Oryctolagus cuniculus: one gene and its partner. Each later gene encodes a partner of the first gene's protein in a complex. Links are inferred from orthologs where the notes say so. Each region holds a gene or a part of one and is shown on either strand. Other genes may lie near its edges.

The links.
Region 2: the proteins of FUZ (region 1) and CPLANE2 are in contact, whole or in part, in a cryo-EM structure (PDB 7Q3E), measured with the Mus musculus proteins. The link is inferred for Oryctolagus cuniculus from reciprocal best matches to the Homo sapiens genes FUZ and CPLANE2. Residues at the interface, in NP_081652.2 of Mus musculus: Arg26, Arg35, Ile109, Val110, Lys126, Glu127, Arg129, Ala130, Tyr132, Cys133, Asp136, Gln215, Ala216, Ala217, Arg218, Asp219, Tyr220, Pro221, Tyr223, Pro232, Leu238, Thr239, Leu240, Leu241, Arg242, Pro255, Leu256, Gly257, Gln258, Pro261; in NP_001074643.1 of Mus musculus: Glu36, Gly38, Leu39, Leu40, Glu41, Arg42, Val83, His84, His85, Glu86, Thr88, Gly89, Ile90, Gln91, Thr92, Thr93, Val94, Lys124, Phe125, Met128, Glu134.

The regions. Positions count from the first base shown.
Region 1 is NC_091449.1:7,736,955-7,746,629, reverse strand, and holds FUZ (protein fuzzy homolog), read right to left. Parts: upstream 5,229-9,675; 5' UTR 4,971-5,228; coding exon 4,860-4,970; intron 4,683-4,859; coding exon 4,561-4,682; intron 3,889-4,560; coding exon 3,804-3,888; intron 3,728-3,803; coding exon 3,659-3,727; intron 3,571-3,658; coding exon 3,466-3,570; intron 3,162-3,465; coding exon 2,964-3,161; intron 2,876-2,963; coding exon 2,780-2,875; intron 2,680-2,779; coding exon 2,573-2,679; intron 2,500-2,572; coding exon 2,435-2,499; intron 2,324-2,434; coding exon 2,249-2,323; intron 1,785-2,248; coding exon 1,561-1,784; 3' UTR 1,349-1,560; downstream 1-1,348. Other genes in the region: AP2A1 (AP-2 complex subunit alpha-1), read left to right, coding at 203-325, 407-523, 601-670, 808-942, 1,161-1,238; MED25 (mediator of RNA polymerase II transcription subunit 25), read left to right, coding at 8,171-8,304, 8,395-8,440, 8,529-8,653. UniProt on the Homo sapiens protein: Probable planar cell polarity effector involved in cilium biogenesis. May regulate protein and membrane transport to the cilium.
Region 2 is NC_091438.1:153,430,714-153,440,247, forward strand, and holds the start of CPLANE2 (ciliogenesis and planar polarity effector 2), read left to right. Parts: upstream 1-4,320; 5' UTR 4,321-4,469; intron 4,470-4,741; 5' UTR 4,742-4,751; coding exon 4,752-4,863; intron 4,864-7,271; coding exon 7,272-7,424; intron 7,425-7,560; coding exon of another isoform or gene 7,561-7,676; coding exon 7,677-7,769; intron 7,770-7,900; coding exon 7,901-8,025; intron 8,026-8,242; coding exon 8,243-8,379; intron 8,380-8,575; coding exon 8,576-8,855; 3' UTR 8,856-9,534. UniProt on the Homo sapiens protein: Required for efficient primary cilia initiation, regulating a late step in cilia initiation. Plays a role in the final maturation of the mother centriole and ciliary vesicle that allows extension of the ciliary axoneme.

The DNA of each region.
Region 1 (9,675 bases):
GGCAGGACTTAAACCAGGTCAGCCCGCGGAGCCGGCGCCCGCACGTGAGACCCAGAGGTCGCCAGGATGCTGTGTGTCCGAGGTCTCTAGTGGAGGACTGCGGAGCTGTGCTTCCGAGGGAGGGTCTGGGATTGCGCGGAGGGGCCCCTCAAAGGCCCGGAGCCGGCCTCTGTCCCTGGCTTCCTTGACCCCGGCGGCCACAGCTGGCCGTTCAGACCAAGCGCGTGGCAGCGCAGGTGGACGGTGGGGCGCAGGTGCAGCAGGTGCTCAACATCGAGTGTCTGCGGGACTTCCTGACGCCCCCCTTGCTGTCCGTGCGTTTCCGGTGAGTTGGGGTGGAGCCTCCCGGGCGGGCTTCTGGGACAAGGGGCAGGGCCTCATGGAGTCGGCCTTCCTCCCTCGCTAGCTATGGGGGCGCCCCCCAGTCCCTCACCTTGAAGCTCCCGGTGACCATCAACAAGTTCTTCCAGCCCACAGAGATGGCGGCCCAGGACTTCTTCCAGCGCTGGAAGCAGCTGAGCCTGTGAGTTGGGGGCGGAGCCCCGCGCGGTGGTGGGGCCCTGCGCACAGGCCCCTGACGGCCGCCTTGCACACCCCCAGGCCCTTACAGGAGGCTCAGAAGATCTTCAAAGCCAACCACCCCATGGATGCGGAAGTTACCAAGGCCAAGGTGAGGGGGCGCGTGGGGGCGCGGCCCCACCACTGCTCTGGGCCTGTTTCCCTCCGGGAGTGGGGCCGGCTCTGGCCCAGGGTTTCTGGGAGTGGGACACCCCCTCGCTCTCTCACGGCTGCTCCCCGCCCGCCCAGCTTCTGGGGTTCGGCTCTGCCCTCCTGGACAATGTGGACCCCAACCCCGAGAACTTCGTGGGCGCCGGAATCATCCAGACTAAGGCCCTGCAGGTGGGCTGTCTGCTCCGGTTGGAGCCCAACGCGCAGGCTCAGGTGAGCATTGGGGGGCGTGTCTGTTCCCGGGGCCTCCCCTCCCACCTCGCCCTGTGCCTTCAGTCGCTTCCGCCAACGCCTTGGCCCTGGCCGGCTGCTCTGGCCGGTGCCCCCACCGCCTCCCTCCCCTGGTCATCTCCCCCTGCCCCGGGTCTCCGTCCCGCCCCTTCACGCTGCGGCCTGCCCCGCCCCCTGAGTGCTCCTCGGTCCCCCCCCAGATGTACCGCCTGACCCTGCGCACCAGCAAGGAGCCCGTCTCCCGCCACCTGTGCGAGCTGCTGGCCCAGCAGTTCTGAGCCCGGCGGCGCCCGGAGGCCTAGGACTGAGACGGCCCTGGTGGACGGGGCAGCGCGGCCCTGCACTGGTGACGGGGAGACCCCGGGGCGGGGAGACGCCTGGCCCGGCCTCCGGCCTCTCGTACTTTTATTTTTGTTCATCTGCTGCTGTTTACATTCTGGGGGGCGAGGGGGAGCCCCCTCCCTCCCGTCGCCCCCAAGCACAGAGGGGAGAGAGGCCAGGGAAGCGGGTGCCTCCTCCCCTCCCACCCTCCTGTTGTAGCCCCTCCCGCCCCTCCCCGGCCAGGGGCTGTGTATTATTGTGAGCGAATAAACAGAGAGACTACAGGAGCGGGGTGAGGGCGTGCAGGGTGTGGGTGGCCAGGCTCCGCAGCCCGTGGGTGGGGCTCTGCGGGGACAGCAGCAGCAGCAGCCGCCGCGGCCCCAGCTGCAGAGCCACCAGGCGCCAGCCCTGGCCGGGCTGCTCGGGCCCCAACACCAGGTAGCAGGCTCTGGGCAGCTGGGCGTGGTGGGCGCGGTCCTCCGCCTTCTCCACTGACCCTGGCTCTGGGGAGGGGACGGGGGCGGCTGAGGGGCTGGACGGGCGGGAGCTGCGGCCCCGGCTCTGCAGGGCCTCGGGTGCCGGTGAGCGCAGGGAAGCCCTGGGCGGCCCCTCCGCAGCGCCCGCCCCTGCCCAGCGGGGGCCCTGCCCGCCTCAGGCCGCCTAGTGATGCCCGCTGGTGCTGGACACCGGGCCGGGAGCCCCGCCCCCGGGCAGGGCCCCGCCCACTGCCTCCCCACCCGCCCCGCTGCCCAAGGCGGCCTCCCGGGTCTCAGGCCAGTGGGCTCTAGTCAGTTTGTCCTTCCTAACCCGAAGCCGCGCTCCACGCCCACCCCACCCCTGCCCAGGCCGTGCCGGTAGCTGAGCCTCACGCAGGAGGCTGTGCTGGGGCGACCCAGGGCCGCCGGGAGACGGCACGGACCTCCCTGTGTCCTGCTCCCCTGCAGGGCCAGCCCTGCCCGGCACTGACCTGGCGGGAAGTGCGTGGCTGTGACCAGGGCGTAGAAGTTGCGGAGGAGGCGCCGGCGCTGCTCCGGGGGAGGGTCTGGGGGGAGGGACGGCAGGGTGAGGGAGGGAGGGCCCGCCCCGCCCCGCCCCGCCCCGCCCCGCCCCGCCCCCTACCCCTCCTCCCGCCCCCGCCCCTCCCCTTGGCCACCTTCATCCGCCAAGGGCTCCACGGTGAAGAGGCAGCGCTTCAGGTCCAGGTGGAGCAGCAGCAGCCTGTGGGGAGGGGGCGTCACGCCAGGGACGGGGATGCGGGCCCCGCCCGCCGCCGCGCCGCGCCGCGCCCTACCCGAGGACGTCCGTGTGCAGCGGGAAGCCGGCGGGCAGCGCCCGGCGGCCCAGGGGCAGGCAGGCGCGCAGCGGGTCCAGCAGAGGCTGCCACCAGCGGTCCAGGAGCTGCAGGGGGCGCGGTCAGAGGGGCGCGCGGGGGCGGGGCCGGGAGGGGAGGGGGAGCTGGGGGCGGGGCCGGCGCGCGCGGGGTGGGGCAGGGGGTCACCTGTGGGTCCAGCTGGCCCAGCGCCGGGCGCGGCCCGCAGAGCAGACACAGCTCCAAGCCGGGCAGCAGCGTCAGCGTCAGGAGCCGGTGCGGGACCTGAAGCAGAGCCCAGCGTGGCAGCCCCCGCCGCCGCCCCCCGCCCCGCCCCCCCCCCCGCCCCGCCGGCGCCCACCCGCCCGCTCACCGTGGGACTCCCGTGGGGCAGGTACACCGGGTAGTCTCGCGCGGCCTGCGGCGCCAGGGACGCCACCATCCAGGGCAGCAGCACGGCCTCGGGCGTCCCCAGCCGCCACCAGCCCTCTGTCGCCGCCACCACCCGGCCGGACGTCAGCAGACAGGCGAAGGCCGTGCCCGCGGCCTCGGCGAAGCCGGACAGGGCTTCCTGGGGGAGGGCGTGGGCACTCGTGGGCAGGGGGCTCCGGGGACTCGCGGCGCGCGCCGTGGACTGAGGCTGAGGGGTCGGCCCACCTGCCCGGAGCCGCAGTGTGGCCTCGCCAGGTGGGAGGGAGAGCGCGCGGCCGGGCTGCGGTGTGGCCTGGGGCTGAGCGGCCGGCAGGACAAGCTCTGGGTGTAGACAGGCTTTTCTGGGGCCAGGTGAGGGCGAGAGGTAGAAGCAGGTGGGGACGGGGCCCAGGGGGAAGGGGGCCGGGCCAGACCCACCGGGACGAGCCCGAGCCCCTCCGTACCTGCAGGAGGGCGCCCTCCGGGGGGACCACGCAGTCCACACACTGGGTCAGGTCCCCGATGAGCTCCGAGTGCCCCAGGAAGCTGTCGATGAGGCAGTAGCTGGCCTGGCGGGGGGGGGGGGGGTGGCTGAGACCCAGGTGGCCCCGAGATGTGCCACAGCCCCTCAGGAACAGGCGCCCCCGCGCCCCTCACCCTCAGCTCCTTCTTGAGCCTCTCCACGTTGCGGACGCTGGTCAGTTCTTCCAGCCCCACCAGGAGCACCTGGAGGAGCCACGCGTGTCCGAGGAGGGCTGGGGGAGGAGCCACGCACGAGGGGGCGGGGCTTGGCGAGACTCACCATGGCCCCGAACACCACGTGGAGCAGTCGCTCCAGCCGCAGCTCCGAGGCGCCGTCCTCAGAGCACAGCGCGATGAGAGTGATGCTGCGGAGGGCGCGGGAGAAGATGGACGCGCGTCCCGGGGCGGCGGCTGCCTCCGCCCTCAGCCCGGCCTGCCCTCGGGCGGGGCGGGGCAACGGGCTTGCGCGTCCCCACAGCCAAACAGCTCGCCTGCAAGAGCCGCAGGCCCCCAGGGGCGCCCCCAGGCCCTGGCTGCAAGTCCCGCGTGGAAGGCCCCCAGGGGCGGTCACCCGGGCCCTGGCTGCAAGTCCCGCGTGGAAGGCCCCCAGGGGCGGTCACCCGGGCCCTGTCCCCCAGGGGCCGTCACCCGGGCCCTGTCCCGCTGTGTCCCGCCTGGAGGGCCCCCAGGGCCATCACCCAGGCCCCGTCTCAGCAGCAAGGCCCCACCTGGAGGGCCCCCAGGGGCCGTCACCCAGACCCTGGCTGCAAGTCCCGTGTGGAAGGCCCCCAGGGGCGGTCACCCGGGCCCTGTCCCGCTGCGTCCCGCCTGGAGGGCCCCCAGGGGCCGTCCCCCAGGCTCTGTCCCGCTGCGTCCCGCCTGGAGGGCCCCCAGGGCCGTACCCCGGGCCCTGTCCCCCAGGGCCATCACCCGGGCCCTGTCCCCTGCGCCCGCCTGGAGGGCCCCCAGGTACGTCACCCGGGCCCTGTCCCCCAGGGCTGTCACCCGGGCCCTGTCCCCTGCGCCCGCCTGGAGACCTGTCATGGAAGCTTCTCCACACCACGGTCGTGTCCTCAGTCCTTGCAGAGCTCAGCTGCACCTCCAGGTTCTGCCCGAACATGTGCACTCCATTGAGGGAGCCGATGACAGAGAACGGGAGCTGAGGACGGGTGGGGGCGTTAGGGACACCCCGCCCTGTCTCCTCACTGTGAAGCCCCAGTGTCCCAGCCTCGCCCCCTCCTCCTTTCATATCCTTTTTGGGGAACCAGGCTGAGCGGGACCTTAAACGCCCCCGGAGCCTCCTCAGCCCAGCTCCCGCGAGGTCCCGAGGCCCCACCTGCTGGCGGGCGGGGGCGCCGCCGCGGCTGCTCCGACAGAACAGCGGGACCCCGCTGTTGGCCGCGAGGCACAGCAGATGCAGGGCGCCCCCAGTGCCCTCCTCGCCCATGGGGAACAGCCCCTGCGGACCCCGGCCCGGGCCCTGCAGCCCTCCGTGGGGCGGCCAGAGCTGCTCTGAGCCGGCCGGTAACTAGACTAAGTCGGCCTGCAGTCTCGAGACGCCAGAGGGCGAAAGGGGAAGCCGATGGGAGAAGGACTAAATTCCGGCCGCCTCCAACGCAACTCAGAACCTCAATCCCTATTCATCCCGGAGCCCTCGGCCAACCCCGTCAGGTTCTCTTCCGCCCCAGCCGGAAGTCACAATGCCCCTAATAAAGATGGCGGCTGTTTCTGCAAAACTTTGTAGTCTCTTCCCGAAGAGGTTTGACTTCATTTATTTAACGAGGGCAACAGAGAGGCTGGCTTCAAATGGTTGCAGTGCCAAGGCATTGCCCAGCAACCATCCTGCAGGCTATTATGAATTAAGTTCTCTAACTTGGAAAAAAAAAAAAAAGCTATGCCCCATCAAAGATGGCGACGTCCCCAAGCCGTTGCCTAGCAACCACGTTCCGTCCAGATTTTCATAATAGGCAACACCGTGCCCCACTCAAAGATGGCGACAGCGCCGCGCGGTCGCCTAGCAACCACGCCTGCCGAAGCTGTACAGCTGTGTCCTGCTCAAAGATGGACGCGTGTGGAGTCCGAGCAGCCTCTTAGGGCGAAATTGAGGAAAACACCCTCCCACCTCCGAGGGAGGCTGGGCCCACCGAGCGTTGCCTAGTAACTGCCACGTGGGAGGGTTGTTGTTGTTAGTAGAAAGAGGGAAAAATAGATCCTTTCTTGTGCAGAATTTGAAACACACTGTTTTTGATGAGTTTACACCCAGCGGGCTGGTGAAGACACCTCTCCCGCTGCTCTCCCTGAGAGCGGTAGCGGGCGTGCCTTCACAGGCCATCGCGCACTAGCGTCCTCACGTTCCCTTTCTCCACCAAGACTTATAAAATCCCACTTTTAAACGTCTTCTTACAGTTATTTATGGCCGCGACATTTGAGCAATCCTGTACTGACCTATTAGGTTCATTCCCATGTGGGTTTTTTCTTTTTTTTCAGATTTATTTATATTTGAAAGGCGGTGGGGGGGCATCGTCCATGCACTGAGCCACTCCCCCAGTGCCTGCCGCGGCCAGCACTGGACAGGAGCAGCCGGGGCCGGGAGTTCCATCAGGTCCCAGACTTCCGAGGAAGAAACATGCTGGCCGGCCGCGGCTCACTAGGCTAATCCTCCGCCTGCGGCGCCGGCACACCGGGTTCTAGTCCCGGTCGGGGCGCCGGATTCTGTCCCGGTTGCCCCTCTTCCAGGCCAGCTCTCTGCTGTGGCCAGGGAGTGCAGTGGAGGATGGCCCAAGTGCTTGGGCCCTGCACCCCATGGGAGACCAGGAGAAGCACCTGGCTCCTGCCATCGGATCAGCGCGGTGCGCCGGCCGCGGCGGGCATTGGAGGGTGAACCAACAGCAAAGGAAGACCTTTCTCTCTGTCTCTCTAACTCTGCCTGTCAAAAAAATAAACATGCAAAGAATAATTTGAAAAATAGACTATCAATTTCGCCCTGTCTTCAGTGAATTTTCCTTGCCTTCCTTTATTATGACTCCTCTGTTCCGATTCTAAAGTGCTTTTTATCTCTTTTTTCTGGATTAAATATTTTTTTCTCAATCCATTCTTATTCTGATTTCAAATTTATACACTTATTTCTCTTTTAATTTTAGTGATTGCCATTGAAATGTTACTATATACGTATTTATTTTGGCAGAGTTACAGTCAAGTAAGATCCTTTTTTAATGAAAAAAAAAAAAGGTTTGAAAGGCAGAGTGATGGCGGCGGAGATCCGGATCCTCCCCGCAGGGCTCCCTGCGCGTGGCTGCCCGGAGCCGGGGCCCACGTGGGTGTCCCACGCGGGTGCAGGGCCCAAGCACCTGGGCCGTCTTCTGTGCTCTCCCAGGCCGCGGCAGGGAGCCGGAGCGGAAGAGGAGCAGCCGGGACTCGAACCGGCGGCCTGTCGGATGCTTCCCCGCTACAGCAGTGCGCCGGCCCCTGCACGGCAGATTCTGTAAAATATCGGATCGCATGGCCTGAAGCGGAAGGCAGCGGCTCTAGGTTAAAAGAAATGTAAGAGCCGTGAGGTCCGGGCTCCCGGCTTGGGTGGCCGCTGCGGCCCTCTGGGGAGTGACCAGCGGACGGGACAGGCGCTCTCGCTCGCTCGGCCTCTCAGATAAATAAATCTGAAAAATAAGACTTCCGCAAAGCGAAGGAGGACGGGCGAGGCGGGAGGGACGCAGCGGTCCGCGCTCTCCGGCCAGCAATGGCGGCGCGGTCACTCCGCCGGGCAGCGCGGGCGGCGCCGGGACACTCCGTTAGCGGGGCCGGCAGCTCGCAGCCGCGGACGGGCCGTTTCAGGGGGACACGGGGCGGTCTGCTCAGGCTCCTACTTTTAAAAATGCATTATTTCCAAAAACATAAATAAAGGAAATATTCCAATGTTTCTGAATTGTGACGGCTAAGGCCGACGTGTGTGGTGACCGTCCGCCGACACAGGTGAAAAGCGCTTCCCGCCCGCACGGCCGCGGCGTTCCCTTCTGTCGCGCGGACCGTGTCAATCCACCGTCCCGGGACGCCAGCTCCCAGCACGCCGCGCGCGCACGCGTTGCCTAGAAACCCCCACTCCGGCCGCCGCCCGGCTTCCTTTCCGAGGCAAAGCCGCGGCGCCCGCTTCCAAGTTCACGGCCACCTCGCGGCGTTGCCAGGTAACCGCGCTTGGGACGACGTGATTGGCTCCCTCACACGCCCCTCCCCCCGCGCGCCCGTAAGGAAACTGAATCTCCGCGGTGGAAAACAAGGCCGGCGTGCGCGTTGCATAGCAACCGGGCCTCCCGCCCCTCCCCCCCGAGACCGGCGTCGTCAACAAGCGCCCCGCTCAAAAATGGCGGCCGGCCGGGCCGCTTTCCACTTATTCGGCTCTCGGGAGTCCTGAAGGGAGTTCCGTTGTCGCCGTCAGGCCTCCGAAGGGGCTCGCGATGCCCCTTCTGAGCCCTCCACGCAGTGGGCGTGAAGAAAGATGAAAAGGAAGCGCGGCAGCCCCGCGTGCCCCGCACAAACATGGCCACGGGCGCGCCCGCCGCGGCGCCAGGCCGCCCGGCGCGGGTGCGCGCGCAGCGCAGGCGCACTTCCGCTCGTCCCGCGGTGGCGGCGGCGGCGGCGCCCTGTTCCGCGCGGGGCATGGTCCCCGGGTCGGAGGGCCCGGCCCGAGCCGGGGGCCTGGTGGCCGACGTGGTGTTCGTCATCGAGGGCACGGCCAACCTGGGGCCCTACTTCGAGGCGCTCCGCAAGCACTACCTGCTGCCGGCCATCGAGTGAGTGCGCCCCCGCGGCCCGCCCCGCCCCGCCCCGCGGCGCCTGTTCCCCTCCGGCCTGACCCGGCCTCTCGCCTCCGACCCCCGCAGGTACTTCAACGGTGGGCCGCCCGCCGAGACGGACTTCGGCGGAGACGTGAGTGGCGGGAATGGCGGGCGGGGGGCGGGCCGCGCGGCCCCGGCGGAGGCTGACGGCCGCCCTCTGTCTGTCTCCCGGCCGCCAGTATGGGGGGACCCAGTACAGCCTCGTGGTGTTCAACACCGTGGACTGCGCCCCCGAGTCGTACGTGCAGTGCCACGCGCCCACCAGCAGCGCCTACGAGTTCGTCAGCTGGCTGGACGGCATTAAGTGAGCTCGGGCGGGGCGGGGGTCCCCGGGGGCGGGCGGCGCCGGGGCGGGGGTCCCCTGGGTACCCCCCGATGCGGAGGGGGACGACGTCCGGCGCGGGGAGCCTGGCTGCGCGCCCGCACCCCTTCCGCGGCGCGCTCCGGCCCTGGCCTCTCCCGTGGGGGGTGCGGGGCGGGGTGCCGCCCCAGCCTGGGCTGCTGGTGCCTGGGCGCCTTTTGGTTTAGTGACCCGTGCTGGAGACGGAGCTGGTAGGCTGCGGTCCGCTGGGTCCCTGCGCAGCTGCCTGCCGTGGCTGGGCCCGGGGCAGGGACCCCGCACACACACACACACACACACACACACACCCGGCCTGCTAGGGTGTGCCCGAGTCGGCAGCCAGAGCCAAGCGTGGAAGCCGGGCCCTGGGATGTGCGGTCTGCGTGTCTCAGCGGGAATTATTAATTACTTGAGAAGCAGAGTTCCAGAGAGAGGGACAGACAGAGGGGTCGTCCATCCGCTGGTTCACTCCCCACATGGCCTCAGCGGCCGGAGCTGCGCCGATCCGGAGCCGGGTCTCCCACGCAGGTGCAGGGCCCAAGCACCTGGGCCATCTTCCGCCTCTTTCCCAGGCCACGGCAGAGAGCTGGGTCGGAAGAGGGGCCCCGGGACATGAGCCGGTGTCCCTGTGGGATGCCGGTGCCGCAGGCGGAGGCCCAGCCCCCTTATCCGGAATCTTGAACCTCTGAGCCACACGCCTGTTTCCTGTGTGAGGTTTTTGTTGTGTTATCCCTGGTTGCGTAACAGGCCAGCTCCAAACCTAACACCGCAAACCTGATTCTCGGCAGGTTCTGGGCTCCCGCATTTGGGCAGCAGCAGCGGGCGAGGCAGCTCGGGTCTCAGAGGAGGCGCGGTCGGGGTGTCGGCCCGGGGAGGTGCTCCTGGCGGGCCGCAGTCCTTGCTGGCCGGCAGCCACGAGGCCTCTGCGCGGGCTGCTCGACGGGCCGGACCGGTGCCCGCGCTGCCGCGGCCGGGAGGTGCGGTGG
Region 2 (9,534 bases), on another chromosome or scaffold:
ATCCAGCTTCCTGCTTATGTGCCTGGGAAGGCAGCAGGTGATTGAAGTATTTGGGCCCCTGCAACCCACATGGGAGACCTGGATGGAGCTGCTGGTTCCTGACTTGCCTGGCCCAGCCTTCATCGTCATGGCCATTTGGGGTGTGAACCAGCGGATGGAAGATCTCTGTCACTCTTAATTAAATAAGTAAATATTTCAAAACTAACAAAACCTGGTTCAGTCATCCCACTTCAATTTTATAAGTGAAACGGCAGTGTTGGAACCAGCCTCAAAGATGGGCGGTTCAGCAGGAGCAGCCAAGAATTGTCCACCGGTTGAATGGGTGTGATTCCCCCACAGGCCACATGGGGGCACCCTGTGGAAGGCTTTGAGTCCGCAGCGTTTCAGATCTTGAGAAGGCAATGGAAGGACTGAAGAGTGTGTGCCCGTTTCTTCTGCCCTCTGCAACCTGGGTGGTGCCCCCTCCCTGGCCTCTGACTCCCAAGCACGGTCCCCCCAGGCTGGCTCTCCTGCCTTCTCTGCCCCAGCCCCCAGCTGTGGGAAAGTCAATGCGTTCCCCACAAGCTGGGCTCTGGGCCCAGACCCTGTCAGCGTGCACAAAGCAAAGCTGATGTCTTAAGTAGATGCCTAAAAGTCCTAGCAAAGTGCTCCTCCCCCCGGGCAGCCCTGGAAGGAAGGGGGCGGGCAGTCACAGCAGCGCATGGGCAGTGGGGTCTGCAAAGCCAGGGCAGTGGGGACTGGCCTGGGGATCGCTTCCAGTGCATCTGCTGAGCCCCGAGGCACTGGGACACAGGGAGGGCATTCCTGGAGGAGCCCACCACCTCATCCCAAAGCAGAGACGTGCCACGTTGGCCAAACAAGAATGGCAGATCCTGGGGCCTGCCTTGTGACACAGCAGGTCAAGCCGGCATCCCAGAGGAGCCGGTTCAAGTCCTGGCCACTCCAGTTCCTATCCAGCTCCCTGCCAGTGCTCCTGGGAAGCACTGAAGGTGGCCCAAGAGTTTGGACCTCTCCCACCTGTGTGTGAAACCCAAATGGAGTTACAGGATCTGGCTTCTGCCTGGCCCGGCCCCTGCTGTTGTGGCCATTTGGGGAATGAACCAGCAACTGAAAGATATTTAAGATTTCTCTCTGTCTTTCCGTAACTATTTAAAATAAATATTTAAAAAAATTTCCTGAGCTGCTCAGGAAAGATGGAGTTGCACCCGTGTACAGCCGGCACAGCCAGCCAGGGGCAGGAGGGTTGTTGCGGAAGCCGGAGAGCTAAGTCCGCCCCTTGCGTGGGCGTCTCAGTCCAGCACCACAGACAGGGTAATTCACGAGCGGCAGATGCATTTCTTACCGTTCGAGAGGGCAGGGGCTCCAGGATCAAGGCGCCAGCAGCTCTGAAGTCCACTGAGGGCCCTGTCTGTTTCCAAGGTGGCACCTTGGTGCTGCTGCGTCAGGGGCCCTGTGTGTGTGTGTGTGTGTGTGTGTGTGTGTGTGTGTGTGTGTGTGGAGGGGACAGAAGAGGCAAACCTGTCCCCGCCAGCCTTTTTATAAGGTCACTAATCCCAATCGCCTCGAAGACCCTACCTCTTAAAACTGTCACACTGGAGATTCAGTTTCTTTTTTTTCTTTTTTTCTTTTTTTTTTTTTAAGATTTATTTATTTGAAAGAGTTACAGAGAGAGAGGAGAGGCAGAGAGAGAGAGAGCTTCCATCTGCTGGTTCACTCCCCAAATGGCTGCAACGGCCAGAGCTGCGCCCATCCGAAGCCAGGAGCTTCTTCCAGATCTCTCACATGGGTGCAGGGGCCCAAGCACTTGGGCCATCTTCTACTGCTTTCCCAGGCCACAGCAGAGAGCTGGATTGGAAGTGGAGCAGCCGGGACTCAAACCAGCACCCACATGGGATGCCAGCACTGCAGGCAGTGGCTTTATCCACTACGCCACAGTGCCAGCCCTGATTCAGTTTCAACCGACGGATTTATAGTTTTATTAAGACAAAAACTGACAGTGTGATATGAAGTTTACATTTAAGCAGACTTTTCACAGAAACCTAACACATGCCTACAGAGATTTACAGTGTCGCTCCCAATAGGTCTAGACCATGTCCTCACAGATTTGTGAGGACATCAGATCATAGCCACACCTTGCTAAACTGGTAGGGGCAGATGAGGGCGGCTTTTCTTGGGGGTCCCTGGTGGGCACCACCCAGGCCTCGCCTTCCAGTCAGCGATGCAGGATGTTGATGGCTTCGTGGCATCAGGAAAGACAGACTTCCCATGTTCCAGGCAGAGGGTTGTGGGAGGCGCAGCACACCCAAGGCAGCCTGTGGCCGGGGTCGATGGCACTGTCGAGTGACCTGTGCCGGTGTGATGGCCAGAGGTCATCTGCTCAGATGTAGCCAGGGGAAGAAGCCCATCAGAACCTGCGGTGGGGGGAGAGACCAGCGCAGCCAGGGCCATGGCAGAAGGGAGAGTTCTCTGTGGAGCCAAGGCACTGAGAGGCGGCATCCAAGGAGGGCTGACCTCCGCACCTGTGCGTCCCGGGCAGGGGTGCGTCTCCCCGAGGGGGAGAGGAAAGGAAACAACCCTGAGGACACTGTTGGAATTGTGGAGCAGCAGTTGTGGCACAGCGGGCCACACTGCTGGGGATGCCCCTGTCCCACGCTGAAATTCCTGGCTTGAGTCCAGGTTTTTCTGCTTCAGGTCGAGCTTCCTGCGAATGCGCACCCTGGGAGGCGGCAGGTGATGGCTCAAGTGCTTGGGTCCCTGCCGCCCACGTCGGGGACCAGGATGGAGGTCCTGGCTCCTGACTTTGTCCTGACCCAGCCCTGGCTGTTGAGGCCATTTGGGGAGTGACCCAGTGGGTGGAAGGTCTGTGAATAACCCTGCCTCTGAGTGAATGGGCTATAAGAGCCGTGCAGGTGAGCCGGGCGTCTGGGCGAGGAATGGCTCCTTGCGCCTCTGCCTCGCTGTGGGGCAAGCAGGATGGGGGACAGCACCCTGTCTTCGCATCCTTGTCCCCTCCCACCCCCCCGGTGGGCCTCCATGATTTGTGGGTTGCTGGCCCCCTGGCTGATTCCAGCCTCACTGGGAACAGCCCTTCTGGTGGCTGGGGCAAAGTTTTTGGTTTTCTTTTTAAAAAAGATCTATTTTAGTTATTTGGAAGGCAGAGTTACTGAGAGGGAGAGACACAGATCTGCTGGTTCACTCCCCAGATGGCCACAATGGCTGCGGCTGGGCCTGAGCCAGGCAGAAGCCAGGAGCTTCTTCTGGGTCTCCCACATGGGTGCAGGGGCCCAAGCACCTGGGCCATCCTCCACTGCTTTCCCAGGCATATTAGCAGGGAGCTGAATTGGAAGTGGAGCAGCCAGGACTTGAACCAGCACCCTTATTGATACTGGCATCGCAGGCAGTGGCTTCACCTACTATGCCACAGCACTCGCCCTGGGGCAAAGTTTTGTGTTTTTTTTTTTTTTTTTTTTTTTTAATTATTTATTTGAAAGGCAGAGTTGTAGAGAGGCAGAGGCAGAGAGAGAGAGGTCTTCCCTCTGCTGGTTCACTCCCCAAATGGCTGCAACGGCCGGAGCTGCGCCGATCTGAAGCCAGGAGCCAGGAGCTTCCGCCGGGTCTCCCACGCAGGTGCAGGGACCCAAGCATTTGATCCATCTTCCACTGCTTTCCCAGGCCACAGAAGAGAGCTGGATCAGAAGTGGAGCAGCCGGGACCCGAACCGGCGCCATATGGGATGCCGACACTCAGACGGCGGCTTTCCCCACTGCGCCACAGCGCCGGTCCCGGCAAAGTTTTTAAAAACCTGAAACCCAGTATGGGGAAACAGACATGGACTGCTACGTGACTGAGGGAGAATGCCATTGCTCCAGGCTGCTTTATAAATGAGGCGACCTCTACAGCCCTCGCTGCTGGCACAGCCCTTCAGTGAACGGGAACTCCTAGGTCAGGCTTAGCAAGGCAGGCACACGCGCGACTCGAAGGCACTGCAGGAAATCGACGACAAACTGATGGACAGCGTTCGCCGAGCGGCCCCTCCGCAGCCGGTGCACCCAGCGGGCGTTGGCGCCGCCGGCCCACTGCCCGGCGTCCAGCAGTGGCGCGGGGCCGCAGGCTGGGAGCTGGGAGGTCCGCCGCAGGCGGGCAGGCGCTGGTCCGCGCTGGCGTTCCCAGCTTCGGAGCGGCAAGGAAGGGCCCTGGGCGGAGGCCCCGACCTGACGTCACCGCCCGCGGGCTCGGGCGCCCAACCGCCGCGCAGCGGCCGGCGTTAGCGGGCCCCGCCCCGGCGTCCCCATGGCAACGGCCTCTGCACATGCGTCCTGAGCCCCGGCGCCTGGCCGGGCGGCGCGCGCGCCGAAGCCGGACGCAGGCCTGGCGGAAGCGGACCCGGCGGGCCGGGCAGGGAGCTCAGCGCAAGGCTTTTAAAGAGACCGTCGCCACCGAGGCGTTCTCGCCAGCGCGTGTGGCTGACGGTGAGAGCTGGGGGGTGGCTCCCGGAGTCGGAACCCAGGAGGGAGAGGAGCAGGGCTGTGTGACCCCCGAAAACGGCTCCCGCTCCCCCTGCCCAGGGAAATAAAGGGATGACTCCCCGGGGCGGGGTGCGGGGTGACACGGAGGAGGGGGCGCTCGGAACTGCGCCCTCTGCGCTGGGAGAGGCGGAGGGGACTAAGAGGGGTCCCGGGTCCCCTCTCCCCCCCTGCCCGCTCTCAGCACCCTGCCGCCCCCTCCCACCCACCCCCGCCAGGGTGCCCAGCATGGCTCGCCCGCCCGCGCCCGGCTCGGCCATTGTCCCAGACTGGCACGAGAGCCCCGAGGGCAAGGAGTTCCTGGCCTGCGTCCTGCGCAGGAGCCGCCGGCGGCTGTTCGGTGAGTGCCCGCGGCCGCGCGTCCCTCCGTGGGGAGCCTGCGCCCTCGCGTGCTCAGCCGTGGGCCCCCGGGACCCTGATCCCTCAGCGGATTCCACCGTCGGGGCCAGGAGCACGGGAACAGCCCAAATCCCGCCCAGCGCGGCGGCCGCGGCGGACACGCTGACCGCGGGGGCACCTCGCGCTCCCCGCGCGGATCGCGCCCCGACCCCTGGTCTGTGTCTGTGGGAGAAGACGCAGCTCCCCAGGACGGAGCCAGCGCCAGCGCGCCCCAAGGTCTGGGCCCGCACGTTAGAAGCTGCCAGCCCTTAGCCCGCAGAGCTGCGTGCACACATCCGGGGCTCTGCGCGGCTGATTGGTGGTAACTGAGACACTTTCGTAAGGAAGGCGTCGTGGAAGGCCGTGCTCTTCTATCGAGGAATTCCAACACGTGTGTTAGTGGTGCCAGCGAGAACCATCTCATGCATCACTCTTCAAATAGGGGTTAAAGCCCTGGCCTGAAGCGCCGGCATCCCATATGGGCGCTGGTTCTAGTCCCCGCTGCTCCTCTTCCAGTCCAGCTCTCTGCTGTGGCCCGGGAAGGCAGTGGAGGATGGCCCAAGACCTTGGGCCCTGCACCCACCCACATGGGAGACCAGGAGGAAGCACCTGGCTCCTGGCTTCGGATCGGCGCAGCTCCGACCGTAGTGGCCATTTGGGGGGTGAACCAATGGAAGGAAGACCTTTCTCTCTCTCTCACTGTCTAACTCTGCCTGTAAAAAAAAAAAAAAAAAAAAAAAAAAAACACCTGGGTATTACTTGGAGTGGGCCAAGGCCCAGCCTGTAGCGCTAGTGTGGGGGCAGACCCTGTCCTCCAGGGTCCTGTTCAAGGGCAGAGTCTGCCCCAGGGGCCTCTGGACAGCAGGAGATGCCAGTGCTGCAGTGCAGGGGCCGCACTGAGTGGCAAAGGACCAGAGTCCTCTGAGCCTTTGTGTCCAAGCTCCAGGGTTTCCAAACCAGACCTTGAGCGGCTGATGGGCTGTCCTGATCCTAGGAACCTCAGGTGGTGATCCTTGTGCCTTTGGTCGCTGGGCTTAAGCCCTTTGCTACACGTGATAGGTAATGAACCGAAGTTTGTGGGTAAGGGTAACTCTTATTTATTAATTTTTTTAGAAGTTGGTCAAATTCAAAGTATGACTTTCGCCTGTGGCCACTGAAACTTTACTTCCTGTGGGCTGGGCTGGAGGGAGGGTCACCCAGACCCCACCACTGCCTAGCCCTGCGACCATGAATAACTCAGGTCTGTCCTCTGTAAAGTGGGTGTCCACAGTGTTTGCCCCATAGAGCACCCGAGGAAGGGAAGGAGGCACACGTGGACGCCGCCCCGAGCAGGGCCCACCGAGGGTCACCTGTCACTGCCCCTGCGGCTGTGTGCGAGTAGGTGGAGCCGATGTCCTGGGAGTAACACAGAGCCACTGTTTCCTGGACCACAGTCAGGGTCAAGTTGCTGGACTGGCGGAAAGTGGTGACTTTGCAGTGTTTTCACCAGCAAATGCCATGAGGGTTTTTTTTTTTTTTTTTTTTAAGATTTTACTTATTTATTTGAGAGGTAGAGTTACATACAGTGAGAGGAAGAGACAGAGACAAAGGTCTTCCATCCACTGGTTTACTCCCCAAATGACCGCAATGGCCAGAGCTGAGCCAATCCAAAGCCAGGAGCTTCCTCCAGGCCCACGCAGGTGCAGGGGCCAAGTGCTTGGGCCATCTTCTGCTGCTTTCCCAGGCCATAGCAGAGAGCTGGATCAGAAGAGGAGCAGCCGGGACTGGAACCGGCGCCCACATGGGATGCTGGCGCTTCAGGCAGAGGATGAACCTCCTGCGCCACAGCGCCTAAGGTCCTTAACCGCTGAGCATACCCACCTGAGTGTGTCATTATGACCCCTGACCCCTGACCCCCGCCCAGAAAGGTCGAGAACAGCGAAGAACTACCAGCGGATCCACTGCAGGAACGGAGGCCGGTCTCTTCGTGTCTCAGGCTTCCGTAAAGCTGGCGTGAGAGCGTCTGGCCTAGAAGTGGTGCCGGGTTAGGACACCTGCGTCCCAGCCTGCAGTGCCTGAGTTTCATCCCCAGCTCAGCGCAGGGAGGCAGCAGATGAGGCACAGGGAGGCTCAGGCAGTGGGGTCCCTGGTCCCTGCCACGGGCTGAGCCTTCAGTTCCTGACCCCGGCCCCGGCCCGGCCGCAGCAGATGCTTAGAGAGGAGTCGAGGGGGTCTCTCTCCTTGCCTGTCTCTCACTGGGATAAATGTTGACACCCACGAAAGGGGGGTCAGCCCTGAAGACGCCCGTGGAGGTGCGGTTGTCCGTCCTGGGGTCCCAGGCGGCAGGTGCACGGTTGGCCCTCTGACCCTCTGCTGCCCTCCGTACACCAGGGCTGCTTGAACGGCCAGTGCTGCCCCCGTCTGTGGCCATTGACACTGCCAGCTACAAGGTCTTCGTGTCTGGGAAGAGTGGCGTGGGCAAGACAGCGCTGGTGGCCAAGCTGGCCGGCCTGGAGGTGCCGACGGCGCACCACGAGACCATCGGTGAGTGAGTGCGGCCCCACCCTTTGCCCACCTTCCAGGCCTCCTGGGGTGGACGAAGTGACCTGGTCCTGGGCCGAGTGAGCCAGGCTTCATCGCCTTCACGGCCGCCCTGAGCGCCGCTTTTCCTCTCTGACAGAGCCTTCCTTGGCTCCTCTGTCCCCAGCGGGTAGCGGTACCAAGCCCGTGGGCTGCTGCTGGAGACGCGGCGGGCACCCCGGAAAGGCCCAGCTTCCTTGTGTCTTCCCGCTGGAGGCTGCACGGCCCCTGGTGCCCCGGGTGTGGGCCCTGTGCAGGCAGGGACGCTGCTTCGGCACAGCCAGGGCTCCCAGGCCGGAATTCTCCCAGGTCAGGGGCTGTGCCTGCCCCCATCAGACCAGGGCTACCCCCGCGGGGAGGTATCTCCTTCTTCCTCCTTCCTGGTCCCCCTCCCCCCTCCCCCCTCCCCATGCTGAACAGCCGACCTCTGCCCTCCTCAGGGATCCAGACCACCGTGGTGTTTTGGCCGGCCAAGCTGCAGGCCAGTGACCGTGTCGTCATGTTCCGCTTTGAGTTCTGGGACTGCGGCGAGGCGGCGCTCAGAAAGTTCGACCACATGCTGCCGGTGAGCGGGGGCGCCCTGGGCAAGCTGCTGAGTCAGGGGCAGGAGCGAGCAGGCCAGGGACTGGGTCCCCGCCGGCGCTCTGCCCTGGGCCAGCCGCTCCCTGCTCCCGGCCTCGGCTTCCCTCCTGTGCAGGGAGGATTGCTAGTCAGGGCCCTGCCACGGGTGGAGGGCTCGGCGCTGTGGCGCGCGGCCTGTGAGTCGGCCTCTCCACCCCCAGGCCTGCAAGGAGAACACAGACGCCTTCCTCTTCCTCTTCTCCTTCACCGACCGTGCCTCCTTCGAAGACCTCCCGGGCCAGCTGGCCCGTGTCGCGGGCGAGGCCCCTGCTGTTGTCAGGATGGTCATTGGCTCCAAGTATCCTCTGGGCGGCCCCTGGGACTATCAGGCTGTCCTTGGCCGGGCGCCGGGCAGAGGGTCAGGGACCTTGGCTCCGCCCTGCCATGGGCTTTTCCTTCCCACGTGCAGCAGGGGTAGGGGTGGGGCTCCGGGAGGAGGCAGGCTGGGGGGCTGGCGCAGAGCCCCCCGGGTGGATTCCTTGACCCTCCTGCAGGTTTGACCAGTACATGCACACAGACGTGCCCGAGCGCGACCTCACGGCCTTCCGGCAGGCCTGGGAGCTGCCCCTGTTGCGGGTGAAGAGTGTGCCCGGGCGGCGACTGGCCGACGGGCGCACGCTGGACGGCTGGGCCGGGCTGGCTGACGTCGCCCACGTGCTCAACGGGCTCGCCGAGCAGCTGTGGCACCAGGATCAGGTGGCTGCCGGCCTGCTTCCCAACCCGCAGAGAGCGCCGCCGGCTGAGGAGGGTGGCATCACGAGTGGGCACCCGTGACCCCACTCCCGACCCTGACCCACGAGGGAGGACAGGGCCCGGCGGCTAAGGCCGGACAACAGTGTGACCTCATCCTCAGGACTGGCCCGGGAGGCCTGGGCGGGGAGGGCGGGGCCTGAGAAGGCGCCCGCCCCAGAGGGCCCTCCTTGCAGGATTCAGGGTGACAGCGAGGTGGGGGCTACCCTGGAGCTCAGACTCCTCCCCCAGCCACCCCCACCCTTTCCCATGGGCCAGCACCCACGGACCACGGGGAGGGCACAGCAGGGTCCTGGACCTCAAGTGGCTTTGACCAAGAGCCTGGATTGGGGTGGGCTCAGCAGGTGAGTCGCCACCTGGGACAGCCGCATCCCGAAATGGAGTGCGCGGCTTCAAGTTTCACTCCACTTCCGCCTCAGCTTCCCGCTGATGTGATGGCCCAGGTACTTGGGTCCCTGCCACCCCCATGGGAGACCCCTATTGAGTTCCAGTTTCCTGGCTCCAGTCTGGGCCAACCTCAGCTTCTGCCAGTGTTTGGGGAGTGAACAAGCAGATGGATACGTCTCTGTCTCTCTTTCCCTATCTTTATGGCTCTGCCTTTCAAATAAATATGAACAGATAACATCAGGGGCCGGGTTGGGCCACCGTCTAGGATGCCAACATCCCATATGAGTGCCGGGTCAAGTCCCGGCCGCTCCACTTC